Nothobranchius furzeri: one gene and its partners. The protein of the gene in region 3 purifies or fractionates together with the protein of the main gene of each other region. This does not show direct contact. Links are inferred from orthologs where the notes say so. Each region holds a gene or a part of one and is shown on either strand. Other genes may lie near its edges. The genes, in order: sqstm1, xpnpep3, vimentin and gan.

Evidence for each region.
Region 1: the proteins of vimentin (region 3) and sqstm1 purify together in Homo sapiens (affinity purification with western blotting; 3 studies listed by BioGRID and IntAct, with this or other methods). This does not show direct contact. The link is inferred for Nothobranchius furzeri from reciprocal best matches to the Homo sapiens genes VIM and SQSTM1.
Region 2: the proteins of vimentin (region 3) and xpnpep3 purify together in Homo sapiens (affinity purification with mass spectrometry; 3 studies listed by BioGRID and IntAct, with this or other methods). This does not show direct contact. The link is inferred for Nothobranchius furzeri from reciprocal best matches to the Homo sapiens genes VIM and XPNPEP3.
Region 4: the proteins of vimentin (region 3) and gan purify together in Homo sapiens (affinity purification with mass spectrometry; 3 studies listed by BioGRID and IntAct, counting the BioPlex papers as one, with this or other methods). This does not show direct contact. The link is inferred for Nothobranchius furzeri from reciprocal best matches to the Homo sapiens genes VIM and GAN.

What each region holds. Positions count from the first base shown.
Region 1 is NC_091741.1:64,351,605-64,359,630, reverse strand, and holds sqstm1 (sequestosome-1), read right to left. Parts: upstream 4,898-8,026; 5' UTR 4,667-4,897; coding exon 4,504-4,666; intron 4,342-4,503; coding exon 4,246-4,341; intron 4,175-4,245; coding exon 3,900-4,174; intron 3,783-3,899; coding exon 3,629-3,782; intron 3,520-3,628; coding exon 3,451-3,519; intron 2,778-3,450; coding exon 2,623-2,777; intron 2,547-2,622; coding exon 2,348-2,546; intron 2,264-2,347; coding exon 2,103-2,263; 3' UTR 1,970-2,102; downstream 1-1,969. Other genes in the region: mrnip (MRN complex-interacting protein), read left to right, coding at 196-317, 546-609, 1,648-1,896. UniProt on the Homo sapiens protein: Molecular adapter required for selective macroautophagy (aggrephagy) by acting as a bridge between polyubiquitinated proteins and autophagosomes.
Region 2 is NC_091752.1:65,765,164-65,772,502, forward strand, and holds part of xpnpep3 (xaa-Pro aminopeptidase 3), read right to left. Parts: coding exon 7,138-7,339; intron 6,293-7,137; coding exon 6,108-6,292; intron 6,016-6,107; coding exon 5,953-6,015; intron 2,660-5,952; coding exon 2,546-2,659; intron 2,471-2,545; coding exon 2,385-2,470; intron 1-2,384. UniProt on the Homo sapiens protein: Catalyzes the removal of a penultimate prolyl residue from the N-termini of peptides, such as Leu-Pro-Ala. Also shows low activity towards peptides with Ala or Ser at the P1 position.
Region 3 is NC_091751.1:47,675,584-47,683,568, reverse strand, and holds vimentin, read right to left. Parts: upstream 5,266-7,985; 5' UTR 5,118-5,265; coding exon 4,588-5,117; intron 4,410-4,587; coding exon 4,349-4,409; intron 2,058-4,348; coding exon 1,962-2,057; intron 1,743-1,961; coding exon 1,578-1,742; intron 1,307-1,577; coding exon 1,181-1,306; intron 1,076-1,180; coding exon 855-1,075; intron 785-854; coding exon 741-784; intron 656-740; coding exon 570-655; intron 493-569; coding exon 451-492; 3' UTR 106-450; downstream 1-105. UniProt on the Homo sapiens protein: Vimentins are class-III intermediate filaments found in various non-epithelial cells, especially mesenchymal cells. Vimentin is attached to the nucleus, endoplasmic reticulum, and mitochondria, either laterally or terminally.
Region 4 is NC_091744.1:82,304,326-82,312,183, reverse strand, and holds the start of gan (gigaxonin), read right to left. Parts: upstream 4,289-7,858; 5' UTR 4,177-4,288; intron 3,862-4,176; 5' UTR 3,827-3,861; coding exon 3,642-3,826; intron 3,540-3,641; coding exon 3,425-3,539; intron 3,250-3,424; coding exon 2,899-3,249; intron 2,743-2,898; coding exon 2,674-2,742; intron 618-2,673; coding exon 466-617; intron 240-465; coding exon 118-239; intron 35-117; coding exon 1-34. Other genes in the region: acd (adrenocortical dysplasia protein homolog), read left to right, coding at 5,308-6,864. UniProt on the Homo sapiens protein: Probable cytoskeletal component that directly or indirectly plays an important role in neurofilament architecture.

The DNA of each region.
Region 1 (8,026 bases), on a different chromosome or scaffold from region 3:
ATCACAATGGTTGGTTTGTATAAGAGAGTGTGACTTTACCGATGGATATCAGGTAACCTTTCTAACTGGCTCTGTAGCAGGGTCTGTTGGCCTCTTTTAAAACGAGTTTAGAACCTTAACACGAGTCCGCATGGTGAACCAATTCTAGTCCATATGTGGGCTTACTAGATGACTCAGGTATTTTTCTGGCTGTAGGTGAAACTGGTTAGTCGCTGGAGCAGATACCTGGACACACCTGGTGAAGATGACTCACGAGAACATGAGACCAAGAACAAGGTTGTGATGAATAGTCTCCATGGCAACATCAGGAGTAACAGGTGACTGCATAGCGTGTTTCAGGCCCCGCCCACTTACCTGCCTGTTTGTGTGTGTATAAACACAAAACCAGTAGATATGCCTGGATCAAACAGTAAAACCTCCTGTTTGTTATTGATTTAACTGTTCTATAGTGGGTCTGAACTGGTTGTTGTATTGGTTCTGTTGTACAGGCCTCGATGCGGCCTGTCTGGTCTCTAATTATTATTGTAAAATTCGTCTTGTGACAGGAAACGGCAAAGATCAGGAGAGTGCACAGATGAAACACAAGAACCCTACTGCACACCTGCACAGGTAACCTGCTGCTGCTATGTTGTACAAGACCTTATAACATTGTACTGTCCTTTTAAGAACCACCTGACCATCAGCCAACACACAAAAGTGCCTTAGTCAGGCGTGATCAGCTGTGTGGCTCAGGTGGTGGTTTGGCCGGTTCTTCATGTCAGACGCAGAGGTTTATTTTGATTATGTTTATTGCACTGGGGCTGCAACTATGTTGACTTTAAATCTAGTCTCATTCCATTCAATAAGATACATTTTATTAGTTTTATTAAATTCAGTATTTATGTAATCGGAAGGTTCCAGTAAGGGTGCACATTTTATCTTCCAAACCTGTCGTCTTAATGACTAGTAGCTTTTAAATTGCCATTATCAAAATTACATCAACCGGACCAAATGGGTATTAATCATTAAACAAAAATGACTCCTACAAAAAGATTCCATTGGGTCAAAATATCAGATATTACTGGACAGTTTTCCGTGTTTATACTAAGTTTTGTTTGTCTATGTTGTTTATCCTTGGGAGCAAACTTTAGTCCTTCTTTTCTTCTGGTTGGTATTAAACTGGCCTCTATTACTCCCTATTATTATCCAGAATCTGCGTTAAACTATAATAACTAAATGCTAATTTGTCTTCTATGGTAAAGTTAAAGTCCTATCAGTCGTCATCACACACACTGGTGAAATTACATCACCACATTTGACCTATCCCTGTGGGGAGTGGTAGGCTGCAGCTGTGGCTGGGCTCGGGAACTATCTGGTGGTGTAAACCCCTCCAGTCCATCTCTTTAAAGGTGAATGTCAAGCAGGGAGGCATAGGGTCCCATTTTTAAAGTCTATGGTATGACCCTACCCTGATCTCCCAGTCCCAGGGAAGACACTTTACCACTAGGCCACTGAGATTAACAATGTTGCAAAAAGTATGAATATCCAGTTTCAGATCGTAGTGATGTCACACGACCAATCTCTACTCTGATTTGATCTTTATTGTAACAAGTGAGATGTTTTGCTGAGACAAGTTAAAATATTTCTAATTTTAATTCCTCTGTACAGCCAGAATGTCCACCAGGAACGCCTCCAGCCCTTCCTGGTCCAAGCACTGCCTCCAGGTGGGATTGTTTCCTCAGGGATGACAGACAGGATGAGGAAGACGAGGCTTTTGTTTGTGGCCAGAGTCAGACTGATGCTATAGCTTCACAGCTGTGCAGTAGCATCACTGCGACCCGCCCTCACATTCCTGTTCTTTCCATGTTTGAGAGTGGTGAAGACTTCAGCTGTGATGATGACTTCCTTAAGTTTTAAATGTGTTTTGTGCCGTTTACATCTGAGCTGCTCGTTTAGGATTGTTATGAGTCGATTCGTAGACATTTCAGAGTCATGTTTTTAAAATGCGTTTATTGATTAGAAACAAATCAAAAGTTTAATAAAAGGTAAACACAGAAAAGTGATTAGTTATTAGGTGTGGACAGGTAATTGTCAGACTAAAAACAGAAAGTAGTCAAATGATGTCACTGGCGTGGGTGGGACTGCTTGGCGTACTGGATGGCATCGAGTGCAGCTCCAATCTCGAAGTTTTTAGCCTGAAGGAGCCGAGTCAACCAGCCGCCTTCATCTGTAAAACCCATCGAGAGCATTGACGCCAGCGACTCCACCAGGCGGGGGTCAGCCTCTGTGGGGGACAAAGGGGAGGGGCTTAATAGGGACAGGACTACCAAAAAAAAAAAAAAACTTGAACCGCAGAATCTGAACTCACCTTGAGGCAGGTGTGGATAAAGAGCTGCCTCCCGCAGACCTGTGGGTCCCTCCTCGGTCCCTGACAGAGGAGCTGGACCTGGACCTGGACTTGGACTTGGGCCTGAGCCCTGGCCCTCCAGCGACTGAAGCTCACCTGTAGATGGATCAACCTCTTTAGAGCTGAGATGAGTCCACTCATCATCTTCATCTCGGCCCACCTGCAGATTTGTGTATTTGGTCAGTAATTGTCATTAATTAGACTGATCTATTAGTTTTTGTCTGAGGAAGACTGACCTTTGGCCCCTGCTTTGCTCCACCTTCATTGCTGGCTCCACTTTCGCCAGCTCCCACATCCATCTGCACTTCACCCTGCTCTTCCTCACCTTGAGTAGGTGAAGTCACCTTCATCCTTTGCCCCTCATGCTCCACGTCGATGTCCACATCAATACCTGCACATGCACAGATAAAGTCCCTACTTCATCAGGATTCTGTTGTCAGGAAGTTTAATAGAAACGGTTAAATGTGATATTCTGATCTTTCTGAAGGGATGGTCAATAGGTCATATATCTACAGTACAGACACTGCCTGCAGGTGACATCACCGAAGGTGAAACAAAGTGCTCCTCTGAACAGAGGCTAACTAGTCAGCTTGGTAATGAAATAATACATCGTTTCTGGTGTTTAAAAACAACCCATAGTGACGCGTTAGCACGCTATATTAGCAGTTTTTAAAGCCCTACAATTTTACATGAGATTGTTTCTTTAGTTTATGCTGTTTGTTTTATTCTAATAACGTTTGAAATACTATGCTACTGCTACTGCCTGTGTGCCATTGGGTTTTCACTCTGCCCAAGTGGAGCAGCCAATTAGGAAAAGCAGGACATTGAGGTTTTTCTTCTGGCTAATCCTGGAAATTAGCTTCTAATGTCACAGATCCAGCTAGCCAAAAGTAATGCTCTGGTCAGAGGACTTCCTATTCCTAGAAACAGTAGTTTGGAATCTAAATTGACAGAACAGCACTTTAAAATGACTTTAAATGTCTGAATGACACTCGTGTGCGTATTAGGATGAGTTCCCTCTTGTTTATTGCACATTAAAAACATCTCCAGGTAAAACAACTCACCTAGTGGGCTCAGCATGGCAGCCACGCCCTCGCCAATGTTCTTCAAATAGTTCACGCTGACCTGAGAAGCTACAGAGGTCAGAGGTCAGTCTCTGTTATTGGACAATGGCTCTGAGTTGGACTCCTTTTGACTGATGACCAGTTTGTACATAAACACAGATCTGTTCACATCACCTACCAGAGGAGGTGCTGCAGTCAGATGCTGAGCTGGAGGGAATGGTTTGCTCCTGCTTCTGGTTCTGGTCCTGGTTTTGGGTCTGTGCCTGGGCCATGTGCTGGTTCCACGTGCAGTGTTTCATCTTTTTCATCCATTTTCCTCGAGGAAACCACTGCTAAATAAAATTTTAAGAAAACCACCGATTTATCACATTTTAATCAGGAAATGTGACTTGTTCTGACACCTGCCAGTGGTGACCTGAGCTCTGACACCTGTCATCCAGGTTACTCACCTGTAGAGGGTGCCACACGGGCAGCAGAGGGTGCTCAGTGTGGGTCCCTCGAGCCTGGCAGGTGGAGCAAAGGTCGTAGTCTGGACACACTGAACACTTGAAGCGCGTTCCGACCACAGGGCCCTCACAGCCGTCACAGGTGACGTTGGGATGGACGGCAGGGGGCGGGCCCGGGTGAGGAGGTGGGGCATGAGGAGGTCCATGTTGATGAGGGAGCCCGAAAGCGAAAGGGGGGAATGCATGAAGAGGGAAGTCCCGGCGGTGCTCCTTCTTTTCTGCAAGAGTTCAACAAAACTTTAGTCAGATGGAACCTTACAAAGAAATAACAGGAAGACGACTTGTTTACCTTTAATGAAGAGGCGAAAGGTGGCGTCCTTGACAAAACCCAGTCCCATCATCAGCTCATCATCAGAGGAGAAGGCCACCAGGTCTCCATCTTCATCTAAAACACCATAACTCAAACATCAAGTCCAAGCACAGATCAGGTGGCACCAAACATCATTCATCAGAATATTAAAAACAATCCAGAACCAGAAAGACACGCAGCAGAAATCCAGTCAGTGTTTGGGTTGAAACAGAACCAGCTCTGATATAAGCGCCTCACCCTTGTAGAATAGGTTGAAGTTGCTCAGGTTGGAGAAAGCTGCCGCCACCTTCCTGCTCAGGTACTCGAAGCTGCAAGAGACGTCCTGGTCCACCGCAAACCTGCGGATCTCCTTCACCTGCTCGTCCTTTCCCAGCAAGTAGGCTTTCACCGTCACCGACATTACGAACTCAATCGAACCAAACTCCGAACAGAGACAGAAAAACAACCAAACGGAGAACCAAACTCTAGAACTTTGTGACGCAGCGGTAAATTTCAGCCTCTTTTATGTTTACTTCCGCATTCTATGTCATCGTCTTAAGATGACGTAAAGACGCACACAGCCTCCCATTGGTCCTCATTGAGCTCCGCTAATGAGGGACCATTGCCGTCTAGAAACATCTTTTTACACAGCACGGTGAGGGACTTTCCAACTAGTCACGTGAGCAGGTGTTAGTTGGGAAAGCCGCTTAGTCATTGTGACGTGGCACATTGTTTTATTTGTTAGAAAAGTGATTGATTTGTAGTTTATTAATAAAAAAATATGAAAATCCTAAATGAGTGGATCCAGCTGAGAACGCAACTGCAGGTCTAGAAATCCAGCAGAGAAACATAAACATGCATGTTTGTGTGTGTTTTAACTGAGCTTTGGTTTCAACCCCGACATGCTTTTTCTGTTAATTATCTGCTGAAGATAACCCCAGTCCGTAATTACTACAACAGAGTCAAGAACCCATACACACTTTTACAGAATTAATCTACAGCTAAAACGAAAGCAATCTGCAAATCCTGCTCTAATCAGTCCAGATTCAAGCTGATTTTCTGCTGTCCAGTTGTAAACAATTAGATGGGATATGAAATGTAAAACATAAGTCAAACTCTCAGTATTCCTCAAACACCTGAGTCATCCTTGCATCACTCTTTTCAAATGTCTCATGAGCTTCTGTTTTGATCAAATGTTTGTTTGCATCTGTGATGTCACCCAGCCGCTGCAGCCAATCAGCAGCAGCATGAGTCATATGACTTGCTGACTCAGAATCACAAGATGAAGCTGAAAACCACCCAAACCTCTCATTTAAAGCCTTTAAAGGTCAATGTAGTGAAAGTCACTGCATTTGAAACTGTTATTCAGTTTTGTCAGCTTGACTAAAAACAATTTATAGAATCAAAGATTTTTAATGGAAGAATTAGCTAAATATTTTCTGACTACATTGTATAAAGAGCTCTGATTACATAATCAGGTTTCAACAACCTTAAGGTAAAATTAATTTAACATTTAATTTCAATTATTTAATTGTAATCATTTGTTTTTATTGCTTTGGTCCAATGATAAACATGCATGCTTGGATTTCTTTTTGTTCTTAAAACAAAGTTAAACAATCCCAGAATGCATCAGTGCTCTCAGCATCCTGGAGCTAGAGTGAGGTTCTTCCAGTGAGACTGATTAATAGCCAAATGAATCCACTTTTAAACCAGGTAACTGAATGAATTACAGACATTGAGACAAATATTTATTTAAACCAGTTAACACCTTGCACCAGAATCAGGTCCATAAGGTTTTACATCTCCAATCAGTCAAAGTTGCTTCTATAATAGAAACCAGCTGATTGGATCAATCCAAAGCAATTCTCTATCCTGGGCAGCACCAGGCTATTGATTGATCGATCCTTTATTTTGGTTGTCATGTTTACAGAGAAGATCTTCAAACAACTAAGATACATCACGATAACGTCATGAATTACAACCAAAAAAGGAATAGGCAGAAGCAATGCTTATTTTGGCCTATTCTCCACCTACAGCAGGTATGTATGTGCTGAATAAAAGAGAGAAAAAAACATTAATATTTTACACATCCTTTTCATATTCTTTAAGTATTTCATACCCAACATATGCTTTAAATATTGGTAAAGAAGTACATGTCTTCAACTCATCATTTAACTCATTTCATAATTTCACACCAATAACAGACACATCTTGAATTAGCATTAGGTTTTGCTCTAGCACATTCAAAATTAAATACACCTCTAAGATTATATCTCTCTATATAGGTATCTCTAAATTTGAAGAAAAAAAATCTTTTATACTATTTGTGATATTGTTATTAGTTACTCAATTGAGAATTTCAAAGATTTTAACTTTTACAATATCACTTAATTTTAAACTTTTATTTAGTATAAAACTGTTGGTTGGTGTAAGATATTCTACTTTGTTAATAATTCTAATGGCTTTTTTTTGTACTTCAAATAGACTATATACATATTTTCCATGCGTTTCCCCAAATCTCAGCACAGTATGATAAAAGGGCAAAACTAAAGAACTGTAAATCAAAAACAAAGCCTTTTTGTTTAGTATGTCGATGGATTAGTAGAGTATTTCAATAGATTTTGAAACTTGACATTTGATATATCCAATATGTGGTTTCCAACTAAGTTTACTATCCAGTCACCCCTAAAATTTTAGCTATGTGTACTCGTTCAATTTGAACACCATTTAAGTATAGTTTAGCATCATCATTATCTCCGTTTCCTGAAAATATCATAAATTGAATTTTGTTTTAATTTAATGATAACTTATTATGATCAAACCATTTTTTTATTAAAAAAATTATTTTTCTACCATTTGCAGTAATTCTTTCATGTCTTTCCCTGTACAAAGAAAGTTTGTATCACCTGCAAACGTGATAAAGTTTAACTGAGTCGATGCAGAAAATATGTCATTCAAATAAAGCGTGAATAATTTTGGTCCTAGAATTGTGCCTTGCGGCACACCACATTTTACTTTATCAAGTTGCAAATCCCTATTGTTGACAGTTACAAAACTTTGCAACCATTGATTTGTTTTTTCTCGAAGACCATATTATTCACATTTTTTAAGCAGTTGTGTATGGTTGATTGTATCAAAAGCCTTGCTCAAATCAATTAAAACACCCACTACATTTAGTTTCTGATCAACTGCTTTTGCATTATGCTCTACAAATTCCATGACTGCTAATGAGGTTGAACGATTTTTCCTAAAGCCACTTTGATGGTCATTTAAAAGATCAAACTTGTTGGTAAATGCTTCCAAGTCGAATTTCAAAAAGTTTCTCTAATACCTTTGAGAACAGCAGCAGTATAGGTCTATAGTTGCAAGCTAGTGTCTTATCACCACTTTTGCAAATAGGAAAAACTGGCTATTTCCATTTGTTCAGGAACTATACCACTCAAAAAGGATTTATTGCAAATATAAGTAACAGGTTGAACAATGCAGTGTATGACTTCCTTAATGAGAAACATATCTATCCCATGAAAAACCAAGGACTTTTTACTTTTAAATCTGTGTACTACTTGTAAAGCATCGCTAGGGCTTACACCACTTAGAAACACCATACTAGTATTAATTATTTAATAGTTGTCAACTTTTGAGCTAAATTAGGGACATTCACAAAAAAATTATTTAAACCATTTACAATGTTCTTATCTTCATTGTTAGTCATTATACCTGCTTCTTATTATTTGCCATTAGTGTGTTTAACACCATCCAGGTACCCCTAATATTGTTTTTA
Region 2 (7,339 bases), on a different chromosome or scaffold from region 3:
AGTGAATGTTTCGCTCTAAACTTTAGTAGGAGATTTATAACACACATGAAACGCCATCTGTCGGTCTACGTAGCCCAGGGGAAGCCTCCGTTAGATCCAGAATGCCGAGGTCCTCTTGGACCCTCCTTGGAACCGAAGCCGGTAGAAAAGCAGCGGTGCCAACCAAACTAGTCTTGGAATGCTTCCAGGTCACGACAGGTTATCACTGGCGTCTCCGAGACCCTGAAGGGGTCGTGAGGTTCAGCTTTTATTCTGAAGGAACCGTTGCGGTCAGGTGTAACTTGCAACAGATTTTATCCAGCTTGCCGAGGTTCTTTTTGGCTGAAGAGGAAGTCCGGATGGCCTGTCCGAGACTTCTCCAGAACACTTGAACTAAAGAAAAGGTTGTGTGGAATAGTTTTTATAATTGTCATATTTTGGTTTACTGGCGAATCAGAATTTGACATGTAAAAGAGGCTTTATACAAACACCACAGATAACCATGCCTAGCCATAAACAAAGGTTCTGATTGGATCAGACAAAAGGAAATGTGTCGTGTGGCTTTAGCATTACGTGTCATCAGTGTCTAGTGCAAATGTCCAGGATTATAATAACTTGTAAAATACTACTGATCACAGGATTATAATATCAAGTACTAACATTGTCATTTCACAGATTGAACATTGGGCTCACATTATTATTGGTAATAACAAAGTTGTTGATTATGTATTAATCAAAAGAGTTCTTTGTCTTGAGCTGTAACAGAGGTGAAGCAGTTCAGATGAGCAGAGTGCATGAAAGACCTTGGCCACTATCTCATGTAGATTAGGCTGTCAGACTTTATGTCTCTGCTCGAGCAGACGCAGATCATGACCTTTAGGTCAAAAACAGGACATTCATGACGCTACAGATATTTCATTTAAGAAGTAGTTTAACATGTTTTTCTTCTGTTCTGAGCTGAACGAAGAGAGGGTGGTGATGAAGGTCACACAAAAACCAGCTTGAACAGGTGAGTTTTCAGCTGCTTTTTGAAGGAGTCCACTGATCTCAGGCTCAAGGGGAGAGAGTTCCAGAGTCTGGAGGCCACAGCAGCAAATGATCTGTCATCTTTGGTCTTTAGCCTGGCGCTGCACAACCAGTAGGCTTTTGTCACTTGAACTCAGGGACCTGCTGGGGGTGTAGGGACTGAGAAGATCACCAGTGTATGATGGTGCTTGTCCATGTAAGGCCCTCAAGACCAGAACCAGGATATTGAAATGAACCCTGAAATTGACTGGCAGCCAGTGAATCTGGAGGAGAAGCGAGGTGATGTGGGTGTACTTTGACCACACTGTTGTCATGAGCCGGGGTGAGTACTCTTCACATCATTCACCATCTCTGAGTGTTCTGATTGCAGAAGAGGGAGCAACAGCTGATCCTGATCAGCGTGATGAGCGGGTCGGCTTTAAAAGAAGGATGGTGATCATGATTCGACGCCGGAGTTGTTTGCCAACCGCCAATAAAACACCAAAAGAAGAAGAAGAAGATGATTCAACGCCGGATGATTACTACAGCTTGGTAGTTTCCTGCCCTCTTGCGACTCTTGGATTTTGTGCTCTAGTGTTTCTAGGATTTTTTTGTGAACCTTTGGATCTTTTCCCTGTGCTTACCCGTTACCAGGTTTTGGAAAGTTTTTGGACTTCTGCGACTTCTCTGGATTACGTCTTTGGATTTCTGTGACTCCTCGGGATTACTCACCTGTGCCCCATAAGATTTCCGGATGCAGCTCTCACCGTTCTCCATTCCTCCCGGCTGGCCCGCTCTCCTGCTCTCCTCTCGGTCCCTCTCCTGGACACCCCACTTGGATTCACCCCGGCACCCAACCTGCCCTCCTTCATTCCTACGCTCCCCTACTCCCAAGTAAGTCTATTCTCTGCACCCACCAAATTTAGACTTACCTTCCTGGACTCACCTGCATCTGCTCTCCCGTCCTCAGACGCTGCACTCCCGTTCTCAATCTCCACTGGGCTTTTCCAGTTTACCTTCAGTTCCCGTTTTAAAATAAAGATTATTTTTTTACCATAAGATCTGTGAGTGTGTGATTCTGCATGTCTTGGGTTAAACGCATTCCCCAAACCATGTCATGTTTAGATTAGATTAGATGTCACCTCGTTTAATTCACATGCCTCCGACACCGCAACTGGACCTATGACGTGGCAGTTATGCACTTGTACATTGCAATGTCAGTGCTTAAATGTAACATTGAGCAGCTCTTGTTTGCAGGACTTGTAAAACACGGCTTTATACTGTTTGCATGTAAAGTTCAAACATCAACTGCTACTTTTGCCGCCAAGTAGCTACTAAATGTATGCATTTTATTTGTATCAACATTTTTGGTCCTTTGACAAGTTCAACATCCAATTTACCGTCCATTTACTGGCCAAGTTCGAGTGATGTCACTGACGTAACCAAAGTACTCACAGCCACCATCAAGCAGAACCATTTCACCATCCTACAACAAGGAGCAAAAATGTAGGATTAATATTTTAAAATACTCGATTTATGACTTCTTGCATGTGTTATTTACCTTGATAATCTGGTTGTTATTTATATAGTGCAGGGTGTTAGCCCGATTCCCTCCAGCTACCACAGGAGGATATGCCAGGAAGTTGGCACCGTGAATTCGATTCTCAAAATCAAACTGGAAAAAGAATAAAATATTTTAAGGTCATAAATTCTGAAAGCCATATAAACAATTTAAAAACTCCTTAAAACTAATATTTTTACCACTATCTTGTTTTTCAAACTCACACTTGAGTTTTCCAACATCTAAAGAGACTATTTTGCAAAATCCACTTTTTGAAGCTTTTGACCACGATATATTGTTATTTCCTCATTAGAAACATCACTAAAGCGTTTTTGGCTTCACACAAACATTTTTCTGTCTCAGCTGCTTCATTCCTTCAACAGGCAGTGCACTAGTATGTTCTGCTCCTCCCCATCAAAGTGGTCTGTCAAGTCTGGATCCCCGGACTGTAATTACTAACATCCAGCCTCTCCCTGTAGTTAGCAGTTGTGAAGAAGTGATTTTTTTCTTATCTAGTCTGCACTTTAAATAATGCCTAGAACCCAAAAATGAAATGTCTGCAAGAGGAACAGTATCCCTGTCCAGTCTTCTTGAATAATCAGCAGCAATGGTTGGATTTTATCTTTAGGAGCTCTAAAAAACTGAGCCAGAATGTGATTGTGATTTCAGACTGCTTGTTGAACCTCTGCCAGTGCCAAGGTTGGTTGTCAGACAGATTACTTCAAACCAGCGCCATTCCAATGTGGAATCAATGGACAGGCCAGAGTGGAGAGTACAACCAAAATGCCAGCTGCTAGCTGAGTGGTTATAGGTCTCCTCCCATTCCGGTCGGCTCATGGGTCCCGGAAAAACGAAAAAATGAATGCATGTCAACGGGGCTAAAAGAGCAATTTTTTAATTCGCTTTGCCTTATGCCTTGGATCACACATGTTGTACTGCAATTTAAATGAAAACTAATGATGGGTGTTTTGACTACGCCAGTCACGTACTTTGAGATTTATCAGCTTGTAAATGTTCGTAATCATCATGACTACAAATTAGATATCAGCACATCACCCGTCACCAAATAATCTCTTTTCCTCTAGCGTAGCTGCTACTTACCAAATGGCCAGATTTATGATGTATTTTCCTCCGAAAGGAAGGATTTTAAGTTAGCAAAACTTTCAGCCATTTTCCCTCTGTTTTTCTCTGTGTCTGGTTCGATGATGTCACTTTTGTGATGCTCATTTGTAGTCCTGGACTTATTTTCACACAAAACCTAACACCCCCCCACCCCCCCAGAAAATAAGTGCATTCTTGGTATCGAAATGCATATTTATCCATGGCAAATAACAAGCAGAATTAGAAATTAGTGTTTTTAGCCCCATTAACTTGGATTCATTTTTTCGTTCTTCCGGGGACCCATGGTCCAGAAGCAGATGGACGTGACTTAGGGTTAGGGAAGGACAATATATCGGCATCAATATCGGTATCGGCCGATGTCAGCCATTTTTTAACATATCGGTATCGGTCCGAAAAATAAAACTGGGCCGATATTAACAACCCATAATTTTTCCATCTTGTCTCCATTTGTTTGTTTCAGAGGGTGAGGGGGGGTGATGTTTATTTATTTGGTCATGTGACAGTGATTGTAATCATCTTAGAAGTGTAAATGTGTGTGTTTATTTCTCGTTTTACATGATTACATTTTAGCATTGTTTCATTATTTAATATTATTATTTTACTGTCTATATGATTTTATTTATAATCTATTTTCTTACTTTTGCCATTTATATTAGGTCTTTTATTTTCATATTTTTACTCATTTTAATCCAGTGTTTTCTCTGTAGGGGCCCTCTGCCCCAGGAGCGGTGGTTGACTGTTGCTTCCTGGGCGCTCTATAGGTAGTGTTTAAGTGGAGGTGGGGTCCATGCTCCCCCTCCTCTGAACGCCCTGACTTAGTGTGGAAGACCTGATGCTGCCGGGGTTGACGGCTCCTCGGATGGTGTTTCCTTGCATTAGCTTACTTGGCTCATCTGGACTCAGCCGAATATAAATTTTTACTGATGTGTGTTTGTGTCTGTGTGACACACCCTGTCCTGTCTCCCCGTTTTGGTTCAGCCTTGTGTCTCGTTAATTGCTCCCACCTGCCTCTCATTTCCCAATCACCTTAGCTCCCTGCCCTTGTGTATTTAAGCCCTTTCTGTTCTGTGTCTTGTGTCGGTCCATTGTTTCAGTGTATTGCATGTTTTTCATTAAAGTTTATGACAAAACGTTCTTCCTGTCTGCCTGTCTTCCTCCCCGCGTGTGGATCCTCGCCTCACCTCGCCCACACGCCGTGACACTGTGCATATGTTTTGCATCTGTTTTTAAACTGTTATGGGAATTTTGGGTCATTTTGTAAAGCACTTTGAGTAGTACTTGGCTTGAAAAGCGCATTATAAATAAAATCTGATTGATTGATTGACTGATTGACTGATAGTTGTGTGTACATAATAATGCAAATTCAGCTTTAAAAATGTTCATTTCATACAAAATCTGCTGATTTTAGAAGCATTAATGTCAGTATATCTGTATCGGCAAATATCGGTTATAGGCCATAACAGTGACCTTGATATCGGCATCGGCCCAAAAATGTCATATTGGTGCATCACTATTTAGGGTCCCTATAAACTTTGGTGGATGAGTGTCAGAGATGGACTGGGGCAATAATTCAGACCGGGAATTTGCTACCATCTCAGCTGCCTATGTAAGTTGTGTGTGTGTGTGTGTGTGTGTGTGTGTGTGTGTGTGTGTGTGTGTGTGTGTGTGTGTGTGTGTGTGTGTGTGTGTGTGTGTGTGTGTGTGTGTGTGTGTTACAGATGGTGATGGTGTTAGCAGCTCAACACCCTTCCAGGCAAAGAGAGTTGTTGTGGGGGAGGGGAGTTGTGGGTCGTTGAGTCGTCTCAAGGCAGTAAACATACAGTAAACATTACAGTACAAGTCAGTTCATGAAGCCAATCAGTAAAAAGTTTTCTATACAAGGAACCCAGCAGGTTGCATCGAATCACTGACTAGTGTCAGAGTCTTTACACCAATCCTCATACTAAACAAGCATGGAGCGACAGTGGAGAGGAAAACTCTCTTTTAACAGGAAGAAACCTCCAGAGGATCCTGGCTCAGTGTAAGCAGCCATCCACCACGACTCACTGGTGATGGAGAAGACAGTGCACACACACAACCAACACCCACCGACACACACACACACAAGCACACACACCCACACCTCCACACATACAGACACACCTCCTCAATAAAAACATGGGACAACACATTAAGAAGACCCTTCTTTTCCAGTTCTGAAGATCCATTTTTGAGCTAAAATATTAGCTGAGCTCACATAAATAAAGATGTAGAGTCACAGATAGGTCATTAGTTTTATTAATTACCTTGGCAAACAGCACAGCTTCATCTACATCTCCCTGAGTCAGTGCCATCGTTCTTCTAAAAGCCTGAAAGACAAAAAATTTAGATGGATTATTTTGCAGTTCAAAAGCTTGAATCTAATTAGCTTACACAGCAGGACAGGAAAACATTGATGAACCTGTGCTGTTATCCGGCCTGCCTCTTGCATAAGGGACACCTCTGCAGAGCTCTTCAGGGCCCTGAGGGACTGCACGAGGGGTCTGAGTGAGTGTGGAGTTGGCCCTGCTTCCAGCACGGGCAGCATGTGATTCTGATGGAGACGAGGGTGAGCGGGTTGTGGGGTGTCGTACCAGAGCTGAGTGCCTAAAGACAGAGCAGAAAGAGCAACAATTTTATACTAAGCAACCCGGTAACGACCTTGGATCAGTTCTGCTGATGTTATTTTCAACTCAGGTGGACAGCATTCTTATCCAGAAGGTCATTTTGATCTAGTTCAGGGATGTCCAGACTTCAAGATGAGGCCCAATAGTCCTCGTGGCCCAAACTTTTTTATTTTTGTTTAGAATTAACACACATAATGTTGACCAAGTTTATTTTTTCCCATCATTGGTGTGAGAAGAGCATAAATATGATATTTTCAGTTCTATTTATGTTTCTTTGTTATCCATGAATACCCCTCCTCCCATCCCCCAGAAAAGTCATTACACAATAGGGCCTAACGACATAAATGTATCATCTGGGGCGTAGGGAGGAGGGGTATTCATAGGTAGTTTCTGGTTGTTAAGCAGCAACAGACAGCTACAGTTTATAAGCTTGACTCTCCTTTAATCCAGTCAGAACTGACAAAGCTCATCAGATGAGAGTAATCAAAGATGTCTAGTTGCCTTCATTCGAACCCTTTTGGATGACCATGACCAGGTTGTTGTCTGTAGTCTATATATGATATGGCACACTGACTCCTGAGGAAATTTCAGAAGTACCCATCATCAGAAAGCTTGTGACCCGTGGAAAACATCTCAATGGTACTGATGGCTTCATTTTATGCATGTAGACATTTAGGACCTATTACACTAAATTTTACAATAAACTACAGTATACATATGCACCATTTCAGCTAAAAACATCAGCAAACGTTTGAAGCAGACTTTAGTTTTCCTTAAAAACTGAAACAAGTCTTCCACCATTACACGTCCACTTGGTCCACCCACCTTTGAGACTCTTGAGTATCAGACACAGCTCCTCTGTGTTATGAACCCTCTCGATGCCGGTCAACGCTGCAGCCCCGTCCCTTCCTGATCGAGGTCCATCCCACAGTTCCCTCCCTGCATCTCTGCGAGGAACGAATAAGATGGCCTGGTCTGGTCGTCCCCTCCCGTGAAGAACCAAGGCACTGTCTGGTTCTAGGAAGCC
Region 3 (7,985 bases):
ATCGGATCCAAAATACGTAAAGGAAATAAACAGAGAAAAGGCTCAGATTGAATACTGAGATATTTTGATTACGTTAAATACAAACATTAGACTTTAACACAAAGCTGAGTTACAGTCTTCATTGTTTATTGCTGCATACAGGCAATTGTGACATCATCATCATCTTACAGAATTCTTGTGTGCATGCTTAAGTCAAATATACTATGTTGGTTACAAAGAAAGGCTTCTGAAGACCTCCTAGGGTTGCTATACTGTGCTGGTTTCACCATTTTGTCTAGACAAAAAGTGACAAAATACTTTCAGGAAAGAAGGAAGCAAAACTGCATCATCACATATAAAGGCACTTTTCCAAGCTGTTGTTGCTGGGTGGCTTTCTTGCTTGCAGACCCAGTCAGATGTGTTTCTTCGTATTGCTCATGTTGACTGTTTGGCAAAAAAATCGAGACGTGGCTACCCCAAGTCCTCATGATTCTGGGTTGACTCATTGATCACCTGCAAAATGACAGAAGAGCATGAGAAGAGATGCGTGTGAGAGCTCAGCTAGAGACTTTAAATCACATCTTTAGTACCTGACCATCCCTGGTCTCGATGGTCTTGATGACAACTTTCTTTGTTGTTGTGGCTTCAACGTGAGATTTGGATTCAGTCAATGCATCTAAGGAGGAAAACAAAATTAGTTCAGAATGAAAGCTGATAACAGAACTCTTCCTACAGGATCATCATGCAAGTCATTGTCTTACCCCTCAGGTTTAGAGAGGAGAAGTTTGGCAGTGGTGTGGAGATTCTGCAAAAATAAGACACACTCCACAGGTTACTAACAAACAGATGAAGGCTCAAAGCAAATTCTCATTTACCGGCTCTCTTCTCCCTCCAGCAGCTTCCTGTAGGTGGCGATCTCGATGTCCAAGGCCATCTTTACATTTAGAAGGTCCTGGTACTCTCGAAGGTGCCGGGCCATCTCATCCTTCATGTTATGAATGTCCATCTCCAGGCCGCTGATGGTGTCCTGGTGCCTGCCGGTCTCCAAGGAGAAGTTCTCCTCCATCTCTCTCATCTGACGCTCCAAAGACTCATTCTGTCACCACAGCCAAACGTGAATGAATATGCTGCTTCTCCTTTTAACTATTTGTTGTCAGTTTGATTGCTCCCAGTCCCAGATGCACGAAAACTGCACACTCACAGTTCCTTTCAGGGCATCCACTTCACAAGTGAGGACTTGAACTTGGCGCCTGTAGTCATTGGCCTCCTGCTTGGCTAGTTTCAAAGCTTCATTATTCCGGGCTGCAGCTTCGTTCAGGTCAGCAAACTAGAAATCATAGTTGCAAACGGAGGGGAAAGGAGACATGGCTGACAATTCGACTCTTCCATAAATGATGAGTCAGAGACTGAAGGAGAGGAAGTGCAGTGAGAGGGGTGAAGTGGGGAAATTTTGCAAGATCTTGTCATGAAAGGCGACCATGCATGATGCTGTAGTTTTGAGGCTGAGGATGTTTTTGTTATGCAGACATTTTTACTAAATAAAAATAATAAATGGCCATGCACTAAATATTCTACTCTATCATTTCTTGAAATATCACCTTGGATTTGTACCATTCCTCCGACTCCTGTATGTTTTTGGAGGCCAGGTTTTCATACTGCAGGCGGACGTCCCTCAGAGCCGCCGTCAGGTCAGGCTTAGCCACCTCCATGTCAACCTGCACGTGCTGCTGCTGCTGGACTTGGTTCTGCAGCTCCAGCATTTCCTGCAACAGAACCAGCGAGGCGAACAGAACAGTCTGTTTTAATGTCCCTCTGTGCTCTGGGAAAAGCTCGAAATCCAGCTAAATTGGCGTTTAAGTGGATTAAGAAATAACTGAAATGATTTGGCTTGGCTTTCTCCATAAAGGTGTCTTTCACAAACTGCAGTGCACATGCAACATTCCTGCAGCACAGCGATTCAGCTGAAAACGGGGAGAGCTTACCTCATCATGCAGCTTCTTGAGAAAGTTAATCTCATCCTGGAGTGACTCGACCTTCCGCTCCAGGTCCAGTCTGGCGAGGGCAGCGTTGTCCACATCCTGTGCCACGACATTGACTCTTAATAAGGCGACTTGTAAAGGTGACAAGAATTATTCATGATGCATTTGCTGGCAGGGACTTTTAAAGAAATGCACTTGCATGTGCTGTAAAGAGCATTTAAAGTGTTTCCCCACACACAGATGTCCCATTGTGTAGCAGATAACACACATGCATTCAATACAAATCAACTGCAGGCACATGATGTGTGTCACTAAAGAGTGGATGTTGTCATGTGTTGTGACTGCAAAGCCACATGCTAGAGGATGCCGTTCGTACTTATGTGAGCATTTTATTATTCATATCTCTAGTGAATCAAAAATGTGTTGAATTAATGCATTTAAAAAATTAAACTATTCTAAAAAACACATCAATGACTCCATTTTCCAATTTTTTTATTCAGTAAAGGGTCTCATTCAAACCACATAATTAAAAAGGTCCTTAAGCCCATTTATAAGCTAAATTTATGTTTATTGTGAAATTTCCTTCTAGTTTCTCTGAATGAAATTAAAAATTCCAACAGTGATGGAATGTTTAGTCATTATTTCATTCCTCCACTTAATTAAGCACGAAGCTTTTGTTTTGGAAGACAGAACCCATAATGAAACAAACCTGTTGTTGTGCCAGTGCACAGCTTCATCGGGGCGTTGGCAGGCCGTTGATTGAGGTATCAGCAACAGAAGCTGCTTTGCCCATGTGTTAATGCCACAAACAATGTGGACCATTCAGCAGGGGTTCCAAAACATGCCCAAAGGCTGGAAGAGTGACTGTCTGCCTGACTGAGCAGGAGCCGGCTGCTGGCCAAACATTGTTGTCTGTTTGCCACGGAGGCAGACCACTCATGCAATTCCTTCCTGCCATACAACAACCTGATTTAAGCCCAAATCTGCACCGAAAAAACATAAAATCAACAAAATGTGTATTTATGTGTTTAAGTTATTCACCAAAGTGATGTTTTTGACCTATTTGTGTACAGTAACCGCCATATAACTCTATTCACATGACCTATCAACTGGAAAACCAGTGACAGGGAACAGAACCATAACAAGAGAAATTCTTATGTGAACGAGACAGCCGGATCACGCGGTGGCCCGTCTTCTCGCTCTGATAACCACATCAGACCAGTCAGACTCCAATCGAGCAGAGCAAACTTGGCCTTTTGTACCAGCCAGGCCAGGGCACTCTTTAACTGTTCGGAATCATGTCTGGAACCTGCTGTTGTGTCATCAGAGCGGTGCATTCCTGCCTCTGTGGCTCATGAGCCAAAACTAGACAGATTACCTAAAAGAGAAAAGGGATGCACTCCACTGCACAGTTGGAGGTTTGCGTCATCGATTTGGGGATTTTGGGTCAAAGTTATGAGAAGCTGGGGGCAGTTGGTTCACAACTCTGTAGCCAGATTTCTGACAGGGAAGTCGGCACACATCACTCCTGTGCTGGCCTCATTACATTGGCTCCCTGTAGATTTTCGGGCAAAGTTTAAAGTTCTCTGCTATATCTTCTGGTCTTTTTATGGTGATGCTCCACCATATTTGGCAGAACTAATAAAAAGACACCCCATCACAAATTCTACGCTACTGACTGTCCCTGTCATGTTCTGCCCCTGCCTTCCTGACTGTGTCTTTCTCCTGCCCTGATTAGTCCTTATTGTTCTCACCTGTCCCTCATTACTCTGCTCTTCCTGATTTCCCTGTGTATTTATATCTCCCTCCTTGTACCAGTCTTCGTCGGATCATTGTATGTGCATGTGCTCGTTTTGTCCTGTCGCTCCCGTTTACTATTAAATCCATTTTTATTTCATCTGTGCCTGCTCTCCTGCCTCCTGAACTCTCCACCACACATTGTCTGCCATCTCCTCCCTCACATGACAGTCCCAAATACTAGGTACAGATCTAGAGGAGTTCGGGCTTTCTTGGTCTTGGTTCCTTCTTTTGGAATGAGCTTCCATTTGATATTAAACCATCATTACAGGATTTTAAGAGTCATTTGAAGACTAATTTGTATCCTTTGGCTTTTATGTGACTTGGTTTAATGCTTTTATGCTGCTTTTACACTTCATGTTTTAAGTGTATTATATGCTCAGCGTATTGGCCTCCTGCAAAGGCAGTTGCTATATAAATAAAGATTGATTGATTGATTGATTGATTGATTGATTGATTGATTGATTGATTGATTGATTGATTGATTGATTGATTGATTAATTGATTGATTGATTGATTGATTAAAGCTGAGCAATTTTGCAACAAAACAGAAACATTTTTTAGCTAGCTGAAGTCATCATTCTATCTCATACCTGTCTAAAACTTTGCATGTTTGCCTCTGCCTCTTCCCTCTGGGAGATTTCATCCTGCAGCCTGCAGGAGGGGAGAACACAGAGAAAGCTGTTATTTTATATTTAGCATAAGCAGGAGCTTTCTTCCATGCTTCTTCTTTTCAGTTTTGTCTTCTTTGATTTTACTTCTTACTCATCTGAACAGCTGCAGAAATGAATAATAACAATAAGGAAATCATGGCCACATGTGCCACGCCTACTTCTCTCTCAGCCTCTCTATGTCATCCGCCAGATTGTCCCGGTGGACCTCCACCCGGGCCTTCTCGTTGGTGAGCTGGTCCACCTGACGCCGCAGCTCCCGCATCTCGTCCTCGTAGAGATCCCCGACCCGGGACGTGCCTTTGCCCCGCAGCTGCTCCAGCTCCGCCAGCAGGATCTTGTTCTGCTGCTCCAAGAAGCGCACCTTCTCGATGTAGTTGGCGAAGCGGTCGTTGAGCGACTGCATCTGCGCCTTCTCGTTGGTGCGGTTCGTCATGAACTCGCTGTTGATGGCGTCGGACAGGGAGAAGTCCAGGTTCTCGGAGGCCAGCCGTGGCATGGCCGCGCTGCTCCGGAGCCTCTGCGTCTTCATTGCGTAAACGGTGGTCGGAGCGGAGGAGAGCCCGTAGGAGACCCGAGAGGAGCGCAGCGGGCTGGAGAACTGGCGGCTGGAGTAGCTGGTCCGGGCCGTGGCTCGGTCCCCTCCGAACATCTTTTTGTAGGAAGAATGAGGAGCTGGTCTGTAGGACATCTTACTGGGTTCTGTTGAGAGTGTCCACCTCACCTCTGCAGCATCAGCGGTGCCCTAGAAAGGCGTTTCCCTCTCCAGAACTTATTTATAGCCCCCTCCTCCTGCAAAAAGCGCCAAGTAGAACTTGACTGACACCCCCAGACTCCAATCCTAGATCAGAACACACACTTGGCTTTCTGAGGCCAGATGCCTTCTAAGGTGCACAACAAAACTGAGAAAGGTCACAAAGCTCTTTTGGATGGAAAAAAAATCTCCCTTTTTCTCAATTACTTGATATATGAAGTGGTGAGTCTAAGCTTCTAAATAAAATCTATTAAAGTTAACAGGCGTTTTGTGGGTGAGGTTAACATTTCAATACATTTAAATAAAGTTTTGAAAAATACCTTATAAGTGGAAAATAACTCAATAAAGGGACATATTATTACTTTTTAACTTATAGTTATAATAGATCTGTGGTCAATACAAAACAGGTTTATAATGTTCTCTCACAAGGAGTGATTACTATTATTCTTTACATTTTCAGTACCTTCCAGAATGAGCCATTTGAGAGCTCTGTCACTTTAAACCTGCAATAACAAATCTCTAAAACAAACTAGAATTTAAACACAAACATGGTCACGGAGTGCTCACCCCTCCCTTGGCTATCATCCCCAAGCCAAGTCCCTTGATACCAGAACCCACATTGCCACAGTAAACAAGAGACCGCTAAAAATCAGTCGCATTTTCTATATCCAAAAATCTTTTGTTTTCCATTGTAACGTCCAGAAATGGTCAGTTTTTCATCCACAGTTTGACCTCTTCAGTATCCAGTCAGATGGAGACATGAGTCTACATCTAGTGTCTTTAATCTGCTGAATTCTGCTATTTTATCAGCTGAAGTTCAGGCCTCTGCAGCTTTGAACACATGGATAACATATTGTAAACAAAACTGTTCCCGTTTCAAGGCCTTAAGCTTTCTCTTATCGCTTCTACAGGATTCCTCCTGCCTCTGAATAAAAGTGAACACTTTCAGCTCATATGAGTTAATTAATCACATAATGAAATAAACAATGTGGTTAAATGAAATGTTTTGTTTAATCTGTGCTTAGATTAATAAGGATGAAATGAAATATATGACCCATATATTTAATCAACGTACGTGACTTGACAAGCACACACTCATACATATGACTAAAGTAATCTCATGACACATTGCTTTCTGATCCACAAATCAGAGCTACTGTATCTGAGGGAGGTGTGTATCTGAGGTTGGTTGGTAAAACCCCTTTACATGTCAAATTCTGGTTGGCCATGTAATCATAATATGGCAATTGTTAAAACAGAATCACTTGCTGAGTAATTCAATTAGTTTTGAGCCGAACTCCGGACTGGCCACCAGAGGAAAACTCTTTAACCACCGCATCTCTTGACAAGCTGTCACACCTGTTGCACGCTGCAGCTGACACAGCACACGGTTCCTGCAGAACAACGCTGACAGTTCCGACTCCTTAAGAGTCCAACCGTTCTAGACGCAAACGAGTCCCCCTGTTTTTCACGACCCGGAGGCATCCTAGGACTGACTTGGTCGCATCGAAGTTTTCCTACGAGCCATGTGCAGTGGGATCAATGACTCTTTGACATCTCAGATCCAAACAGGGTCTCCAGGAATAGGTACATAGGCACGGCATGAATTGTCTGATGCCGTTTTGATGAATCAATTCTTCAGCTTATAACAAACAACAAATTCTTTTCACACCCAGAACCAAGCCTGAGTTTCTTCTAGATCCAAGGTTCTGATAAACATCACACACCATTCCATCATCAAACATCACATTCCATCCACTTATATTCATCCATCACATAAAGTTGCTTATAGGTCATGATTTTTAATTTGTTTAGAAAATACATTTCTTGACTCTGTCTGAATTAATACGAAGTGTGTTTATGATCACTGAAAAGGCAAAGAATCCTAATTCTTCTGATTAAACATTCAAAGATCAATCAGGTTGATATCCTATATTTATATAGAATATCACATCTTATTGGTCATAAGTAAAGGTAGTATAATAAGCTTAAAAGCAACATATTATACCCTCTTACACCGGGAATTCAAAATGTTCTTTTCAATTTTAATGCAATGTTAGAACATTGTTAAAGTTGCTAGAGAAAATTTGGAAAACAAAATAGCCTAAAACATTCTAACATGTATAGTTATGAATTTATTTTGGCGATTAAAAAAACGAAAAAATAAATAATGAGGTGGTTCTCTCGTATTTGTCTAAATCCCTTGGCCAATAACATGGCTCATTCTGAAACCAAAGATTGGACCATCCGGTTAAAAACAACAAGCTGCACTTGGCCACGCCCACCCATCTCCTGCTCAGGTTGCTATTAGCTGAGAAGCTCCGATATATCAGAGGAGCCTGCAGCAGAGCATGCTCCTCCAACAGCAGCTGTCTCTTGCATGTAAGAGACGGTTCTGTCCTAAATTCCCCATTTGTGACATCATAAATATGGACTCTTGAAAACAGCTTGTTTTAGGGACATGAAAAAACAAATGCTGACAGAAAATGGATGGACCAATTCCTTCCACGTTTGGAGAGACCCAAGGCAGCACAAAAGGGTGAAGCAGTAGCGGTTTTAGGCACGGGCAGACAGGGCAGTTGCCCGGGGCGGCATTTTTTCATGACACAAAAGGGGCGCACAAGCGCTGAGTAAAAAAAAAAAAAAAAGGAAATCTGCGCCGCACCGAGGTTTTCTATTATCGGTTATATGACAGTGTCTGGATTGGAAACAGCAAGTTGGCGCCCCCTGCAGCTGCAGGCGCTCATGCTGACTGAGAACGTTCACGTGCACCGTGTGTCTATGAAGAACAGGAAGGGGAGGGGT
Region 4 (7,858 bases), on a different chromosome or scaffold from region 3:
TCATTGGTTCCTCCCAACACAAACAGAAACCCCTCTGAGAGACACAAGAAGATCCTGTTAATCACCGATCTAATGCTTCTGGTTAACGGACATTCTGAAGGATTTCTGTGAACCGACCGGCAGCGACGACTCCGTGGCCGAGACGGGCGACGCTCATGGGCTGCAGCTCGATCCAGCCCTGCCTGTTTGTATCGTAGAGCGGACACATGCAGCGCATCGCAGCTGTCAGCTTCTTGGTTCTGTGAAGAATGAAACCATCAGACCAGCTGGAACACGGTGGCTTCCCTTCCTCTTGTGATCTGTTAAGGTGGACCAAAAGTTCTAAAGACTTAAAAACTATTTGTTTTGAGTTCTTCAGCTGAATCTGAGAAACCCCAAAGGTAACACAGACGGGCTTAAAACAGGGTTTTAACTTCCAGAGAGCTGAGGAAGATTTCAGAGCCAGGAGAAAATGGGTCGGCCTACCGTCGATCCTCTCCTCCAGCGACGACGATGCACTCGGAGTAACCTCTGGGTTTGAAGGCGGCGATCATGGCCTCGCCCTGCAGCGGCGCCTCCGTCAGGTTCTTCTGACAGAACTCTCGGATCACCTCCCTCATCAAAGGCTCTGCCGTGGACTGAAGATGTAGCACCAGAGGACAAATCAAACCTAAAACCGAGGTGAGTCTAACATCCTGACATTCCGTTCAGTTCACTCAAAGAAAAAGAACTGGACAATATTAGGAGTTGAAGAAAAACAACATTTGAAACATTTTTTTATTCCAGTTTCTGAGTCGATTTTAAAGTTTGAGCTGCTGGTTTTTACATCAAAAGAGTTTTGTGATCATGAGAAATCTAACAAAATGAAAAAAAATATATATATATATAAACTAAAATAATTGAGGAAAAAAAGCCCTGGTGACTGCTGACTGCACAGCCAGACTGCAGCTCTCACATACAAGCAGGAGTTTATTCCTGACTGGTATTTTATTTGTTTGTTGGCATGAGTAACATGCTCCAGACGTCACGTGACTCTCAGAGAGTAGACGCCATGTTGGCAGGCAATAAAGGTAAACAAAATGAACGGGATCGACTTGGATTTTACTTCGTCTGAGTTTACTTCACACTGTAAAACCGAAGAAATCGTTTTATATAGCCAGAAATTAAATAGACTAAACATCTCCGACCCTTACCGTGCCCCTGGGATACTTTTTAAAAACGCCAGAAGCTGTCGGAGCGGACTTCTTACCGGACCTGGCCGGGGAACGCCCTGGGATTCCCCCGGAGGAGCTGGGCCCAAGTGGCTGGGGAGAGGGAAGTCTGGGCCTCTCGACGCTACTGCCACCGTGACCCGACTCCGGATAAGCGGATGAAAATGGATGGATGGATGGACAAATAATTACATGTAACTTAAGTAGTTTAAACAGAGTGCTGTGCTGTTTGAATGTATAAACTGAACGCCAAGAGAAATCACTAGTTTGATTTTTTTCCGTGAATAAAATAAATATGTCAGGCAGGAGCGTCTCAGGATCTGTCTGAGATCTGACTCGGTGAGACAGATAACAGCAATCCAAAGTGCTTTTTATGTGTGATCTGACAATTGATCAACCATTGCTTAAAAATTAAATACAGCTTAGCCGGTTAATTGCTGTGATCATAAAACACGTAAACGGCAGCACGCAGAAACACGAGGCAATGTTTTACGTGACGTTTACTTGTTGCTATGAGTAATAAGACAGAAAAAGCCCCGCCATAATACGTTTAGGAAGCCCACTAAGTATAGTAATAAAAGCATTTAAAATAATTACCACACACAGTTGAGGAAACGTTGGTTTAAGTACCTGATATGAAGCGGTCGCTGCATAAGCGAAAACCTTTACTCTCAGGATCCCACAGCTTCATTTAAGCCCGGTCACTAGCGCGTTTTATTACAATGATCCAACGTTTGCGGCGCTCCGGATCTTGGGGAATCCTGTAGATGGCTCATTCCTTATGTCGTCCCCTAACCCTAACCCTATCATTAATGTAAAAAAGAAACTCTAAATGAACTCTGTTCACATCCAGAATCGAACACAGGACTTCTGCATGAGAGTCAGACATCTTACAAGGTGAGCTACACTCTAGTAACATTCACAGTATCTGTAACTTTTATATCCTTGATGACAGCTGAAACAACGTCAAACCAAAGAACGGTTCGGAGTGAAAATGGCTATTTTGTTGCTAATTTGCAGGAAATATCTAGAAGAAAGTTCTACAGAAAGTAGCTAAGGGTCCTCAGAAATGTAGCTAGCTTTGTCACTAGGCGTTAGGAACAGCGACAAAGTGGCACTGCCTCTCTCTCTGCTGCTAAAGCTACGGATAGCAAATGCTACGGGCGATGCCTGAGCGTGAACGCGCATGAAGCAGCCTGCTCGACCCGAGCATCTCTCTTTTTCTGTGATTTTACAGAAAAACAGGCAATCACAGTAAAAATGCCAGGGCTCATTCTACAGGACCAGGGCATTGCAGGAGAATGTATGAAGAAGACATTTATTATTTCTATACATGTTTTGGCTGTCAAACTTCCATAATGCCCCTTTAAATAACAAATTAAATTATTCTGGAAGGAAGAATATTAAAATCTATAAATGGTCCTGAGAGATGGAAGTCTTTTCTGTTCCCAGAGCCTAAAACGTGCATTTCCAGTTACTCTACCTGCTCTCTCAGGTAACTCAGGTCCAAACCCTGCAGCCATACTGCTGACATCACCTCCTTCATGTGGACCTGATGTAGAAGAAGCTTTCATGAACCAAACACCAACAGTCATTACAAAACTACAAAAAATAGAAAAATCCTGTTGTTTGACTCAGTTTGTGTTTCCCTACGGTTTTTGTTTTGTTATAATCTCCGTTTCCGGCCTCCACATTGAGCCTTACCCACCCTGCGGTCGTCGGGGTCATGAGCGAACCATCGCACCACAGCCTCCAGTAGGTACTTCTCGTTCCCCACATTGAGCTTCTCCATGGCTAGCAGCTCACAGAGCCGATCATGGGGCAGCTCCCTGAACTCCTCAGTGAGAGCCACATCACGAAAGTGCGTCTGCAGAAACTCAGTGGCGACGTAGTGGACGTGATGGAGACAGTAACACAGGGAGAAGAGCCGGATGCCGATGCAGTTCTCTGCAGTTATGCAGCTCTCCAGGAACTGACAGCAGAGCAGCTTAAGGTCTGTCATGAGGAGCAGGTCTGACGCCTGCACCATGTCCTGGATGGTTTCTTCACTCAGGCTGATCTGTGGGAATAAGAGTCAAATATAAAATCTACATGTCATCCTGATCTGTAACTTTTTAATAAATAGTAAACAAAAGTAAATTCTTTAGGATTTAAGCAGCTGCTTTCTTTCGATGTGTCAAATCCTAAAATAGAGCTTTAACGGATTACAGTAAGAACAACGTGCCCAGACTCACTTCTCCGCTAAAGATGTAGTCCAGGATCTGCTTCATGATGACCATGGAGACTCCCTGCAGCTCGATCCTGTAAGTGGACCCATCTTCTTTGGGAGGATTGTAGTTCAGTTTAGTCCTAACACCAGAACATGGCAGAACATAAACGGCGGGATCCTTCCTGTGAGCAGCCACACCCAAATAGCAAATGCAAAGCCACACGTGTGCAGGTATGACTCACCTGACATATGGGCTGGCAGCAGCCAGGATGTTTTTCTGAACTGGAAGCTCTTCTCCATCGACAACCAGCAGAGCATCGTGAAAGCTTTGCTCCTGCCAGAAAGTACGAAGAACTCTGAGCAGCTTTTGGGAGTGCTGTGGATCCGAAACCCGCGAACCGGGTTCGCTGGACGTGGAGTTGGGCATGTCGTTAATCTGGACTGCCTACGCACTGTTTACTCCTGCAATCAGAGCACGACGAGCTATATTAGAAGAAATATTTATTACCTTTTTGCTTGTCAATTTAAACACTCCCGAAGAGTGTAAATTTTCACGACGATTCATCAAAGATACAATCTGTTGATCAACAAACGTTTATTAAACTGTAACTAGCTGAAAACTCTTAAACTGGCACATTTCTAAATGAGATTTGGCAAATCAAGCTAGGCTAGTAGCAAAATAGAACCTAAATGTAAACAAACGGCTAATGTGAAAAGACATCGTTTCAAACTCTACGTTGTGTGTTTTATTTTTAATACTTATTAAAAACGTCTTACCTTTAGGTTACTGAAAGCTTTGGGTGTTTCTGGCACAGGGAGTGCCGAACTCCACTCACAACACCATGAGAAAGGGTGGACATGTGTGGTGCTGCATTCAAGGCCATGGGACAAAACAAAACAAGTACGTAAACAGATGGAAAAAAATCATATATAAATTAATAAATAAATTTTCTATTTAAGATTAGAGCTAAGGTATTTAACACATATATGTTGTTGGTATGATAAAGTTGCAAATATATGGAAATATGAAGTATCATCTTTTCACTCCGTGAAACAATTAAGTGTGCTAGGTTTGTCAAGGATACATGAACGTTTCAGAAATTAGGCGGAAATGATGCGTAATCGTCTAAAAGCGACACTTTTAAATAGAATTTTATTGAACAAAAAAAAGTTGTACAAGTAAATCTAAAGCAACCCCTTTTAAGAAACTTTCAACGTTACTTTCAATATAAGTTATTCTATAAACAAAATGTTAATGCCTGTCATAACATACGCGTTCAATGTCCCCTGAATCTAGAAAAAAATGGTTTAATAGGTTTAATGAGATTCTACCCAACGTTAGTAAAAGCTTTATGTAAACGTTTTGATTTTCTATATTTTCTAAACACATACATATATTTTAAAAATACAGAGCACACAAGGAGTATACAATCAGATTTATTTTCTATATTTTCTTTTATTCTTGGCAAAGATCTAATCTGAAGCTAACGTTCGTGTCGTTAAAAGGGGAATTATTAAATGATGATGATGATGATGATGATGATGATGATGATGATTTGACACAGAGACGTTCACTTCTCCCAGGATGCGTTTACAATGTTGTAAAATATCTAATTGCAGAAGTTGAACCAAGGCTTTTTTTTCCAGAAAACCTCTGTTGAATTGGACCTGGTTTTTGTTTGCTTCGTTCTTATTTAAATATATATCATTATGTACTTATTTTAGTACCTCTTTGTATTTATTTTAGTTTAGTTTGTTGTGGTGGAACCATTCAGCGCTGGGACTGTTTCCTGGCGGAAGTTAAAAGCCGCGTACACAGAAACTTTTGTTGTTCTCGTATATGATGTCTGTGGTTTTTCCTTCTCGGACTGCATTTTTGTTGTAAGCTAAACCCCCGAAAGTTCGAACATGTATCGGCTCCGACACAAGCCGATGCAACCGTGGATAGAAGGCCTGGTTCTGAACTACAGCGACCGGGAAGGCGAGGAGGCGGGAGCCCCGGACGGAGACCGAACACCGGGAAGGAAACGCTGGCTGAAGGCGTATGTCCTCGAGGTCAGTCATCTGCCTGAATCCAAGCTTCGGGCCTTCGAGGGCCCCAATGTTGTGCTCTTTCTGTCCGACGGGCAGGTGAAGATACCGGCCGTGCTTACCGCCTCCGCCTGGGCGCGGATCCAGGAGGAGGAGGGTCGGGAGAACTTAAACAACTTCCTAAACGCCACGGTGCACCTTCAGGTCGAGCGGCTGCAGTTTGACGTGACTCCCGATAAGTTCACCTCCAGGTTCTACTTGGTGCTGAGCGGTCTGAGTACAGTAGAGGCCGGCCTGGTTAGACAGCACACGCCCTGCTACACCTCCCTGCCCTCCATCAGAATGAAGATCGATCAGACCTGGAGCGCCCGGCAGCGAGCTCAGGACTCCCAGAGGAGCCACGACGAACCCGACTTGTCCCAGCTGCTGTGGCAGGAAGAGTGGCTGCGGAGCAGCGTGAATGATGTCGTGGAGAGGATGACCACACACACGACTCCACAACCTTCCGCTTCTGCTTACCACTCATCTATAACCGGACCTGCCACCAGCTGGGACCAGGACCGGGTCAGGTACCAGGCAGAGACTCCTTTCACTGTCCCAGTGAGGTTTCTTCTCATCCCTCAGCATTTAGAGACGGGGACAGATGCTGGACTCAGGACGCACACAGGGACAGAGCTGGCAGCTCATAATGATGCAACCGGGCAGATTCCAGAACCGGCTGGTGTGGAATCGGTCCGTGATGCAGAAGAGAGCTCAGCTGTTCTGACAGAGGACGACTTCCCACAGGAGGAAGTAACTCGAAGGCCTACATCCAACCCCTGGGACATCTACCCTCCTCCGTGCATCAGCTCTGAATCTTCTCCAGAACCTACACCGACCCTCTCCGGTACCACATCTGGACCTGATTCTGCTACCATGGTAACCAGCTCACCTTATGTTCAGATCTCCCTCCCTCCCTACCAAAAACAGCAGAACAGCAGCATCCTGCCCACTAACTCAGCTGAGAAGAGTTTACCAGAACCTCCTGCCTCAGACACCACCCAGAACACCAGGACTCATCAGAACCTTCAAGCTTTGGACAGAGACTATCAGGACAGGGCTCAGGTCGACACCAGGAACCTGAAGAGGAAGCGACACGATGTCCCACTACAGAGGGTGGAGGAGGAAGAGTTCAGCCACAGCCCGCCATCTTGGCTCTTTGAGACCCAACCAGAACCCGCCAGAACCAAAGAGGGGAGTGGTCCAAAACAAAGAGCTGTGAGAACAACCTCCTCTGTTCACATCGATGGCAAAAGGTTCTCATACACCTACAGTGTGACCGGACAGAACCTGCAGGACTTCAGTCGGTTCAGAGTGGCTGCGTCTGTTCTGCACTGGGCTGTGAAGTACCTTTTAACTCCGAAACCAGCAGAACCTCCTCCAAACATCAGCTGATGGTACCACAGCGACGTTTCCTTTGGTTCAGAGACTCTTAAGCTTCTCTAGGTCAAGTGTGGATTTTTCATTCTACTGTCATCTGGGTCCAATTCAAACAGAAGCTAAAGTGTTCCGCTGGTGCTGTTTTATAAAACCCGATGCTGAAGTCAGGATTGATGAGGCCGGGTTCGGAGGCTTCGCAGGTTGTCTGGGTTTTTGTTAATGTTGAGAAAAAGACTCTAGAGCTTTTATCTCTGTGTCACGCGGTTCTGTCGGGACGTCGTGTTTCTGTTTCAGAGTTCGGATGTGATGAAAACAGTTCATCTTTGTGGAAAAAGATGGAAATGGTTCCACCCCAATGCTTCTTTGGACTTTTGTTTAAAACAGTTTTAAAATATTATTTATTTTTTAAAAGATTTTATTATTTTGTTCTATTTCAAACTAATAAATGAAGTAACTTGTTTTGTTTGAACAATATTTGCTTTTTTTTCTTTTCTGGAGTGTATAAAACACCTGATTTTACCACTTTGGAGGCAAAGAGATGGAACACACACACACACACACACACAGTAGACCAGTTTTTAAAAAAAGGCATTTTGAGATTAACCTGATAATAATGTTTAATTGTTTTACTCTAATGTTTTATTTTTACAGGTGCTTAAATACATCTATTTGCATTTATCCATTTAAAATGAGAATAAAAAACTGCTTTAATTTGACAATATTGTTAAAATAAAGTAATGAGAAATAAAACAACAAAGCTTCATGTAAACAGAAAAATGTTTAAAGATCCAGTTTATTCAGTTTTAACAATTAAAGCACAGATGTGATCTCATCATTATAATAATAATGTTTAATAGTAATATATTAGTAATGTTTTCTAATCTTTAGAGCGATGTAAAAGTGTGATTTATTTTATTTTATTTTTTGTGGTTAAAATGTTTCAGGTCAAATGTCATAAATTTAAGTTTCACCCAAAAAGAAGCAACAGCAGGAGAAATAAGAAGTTTTC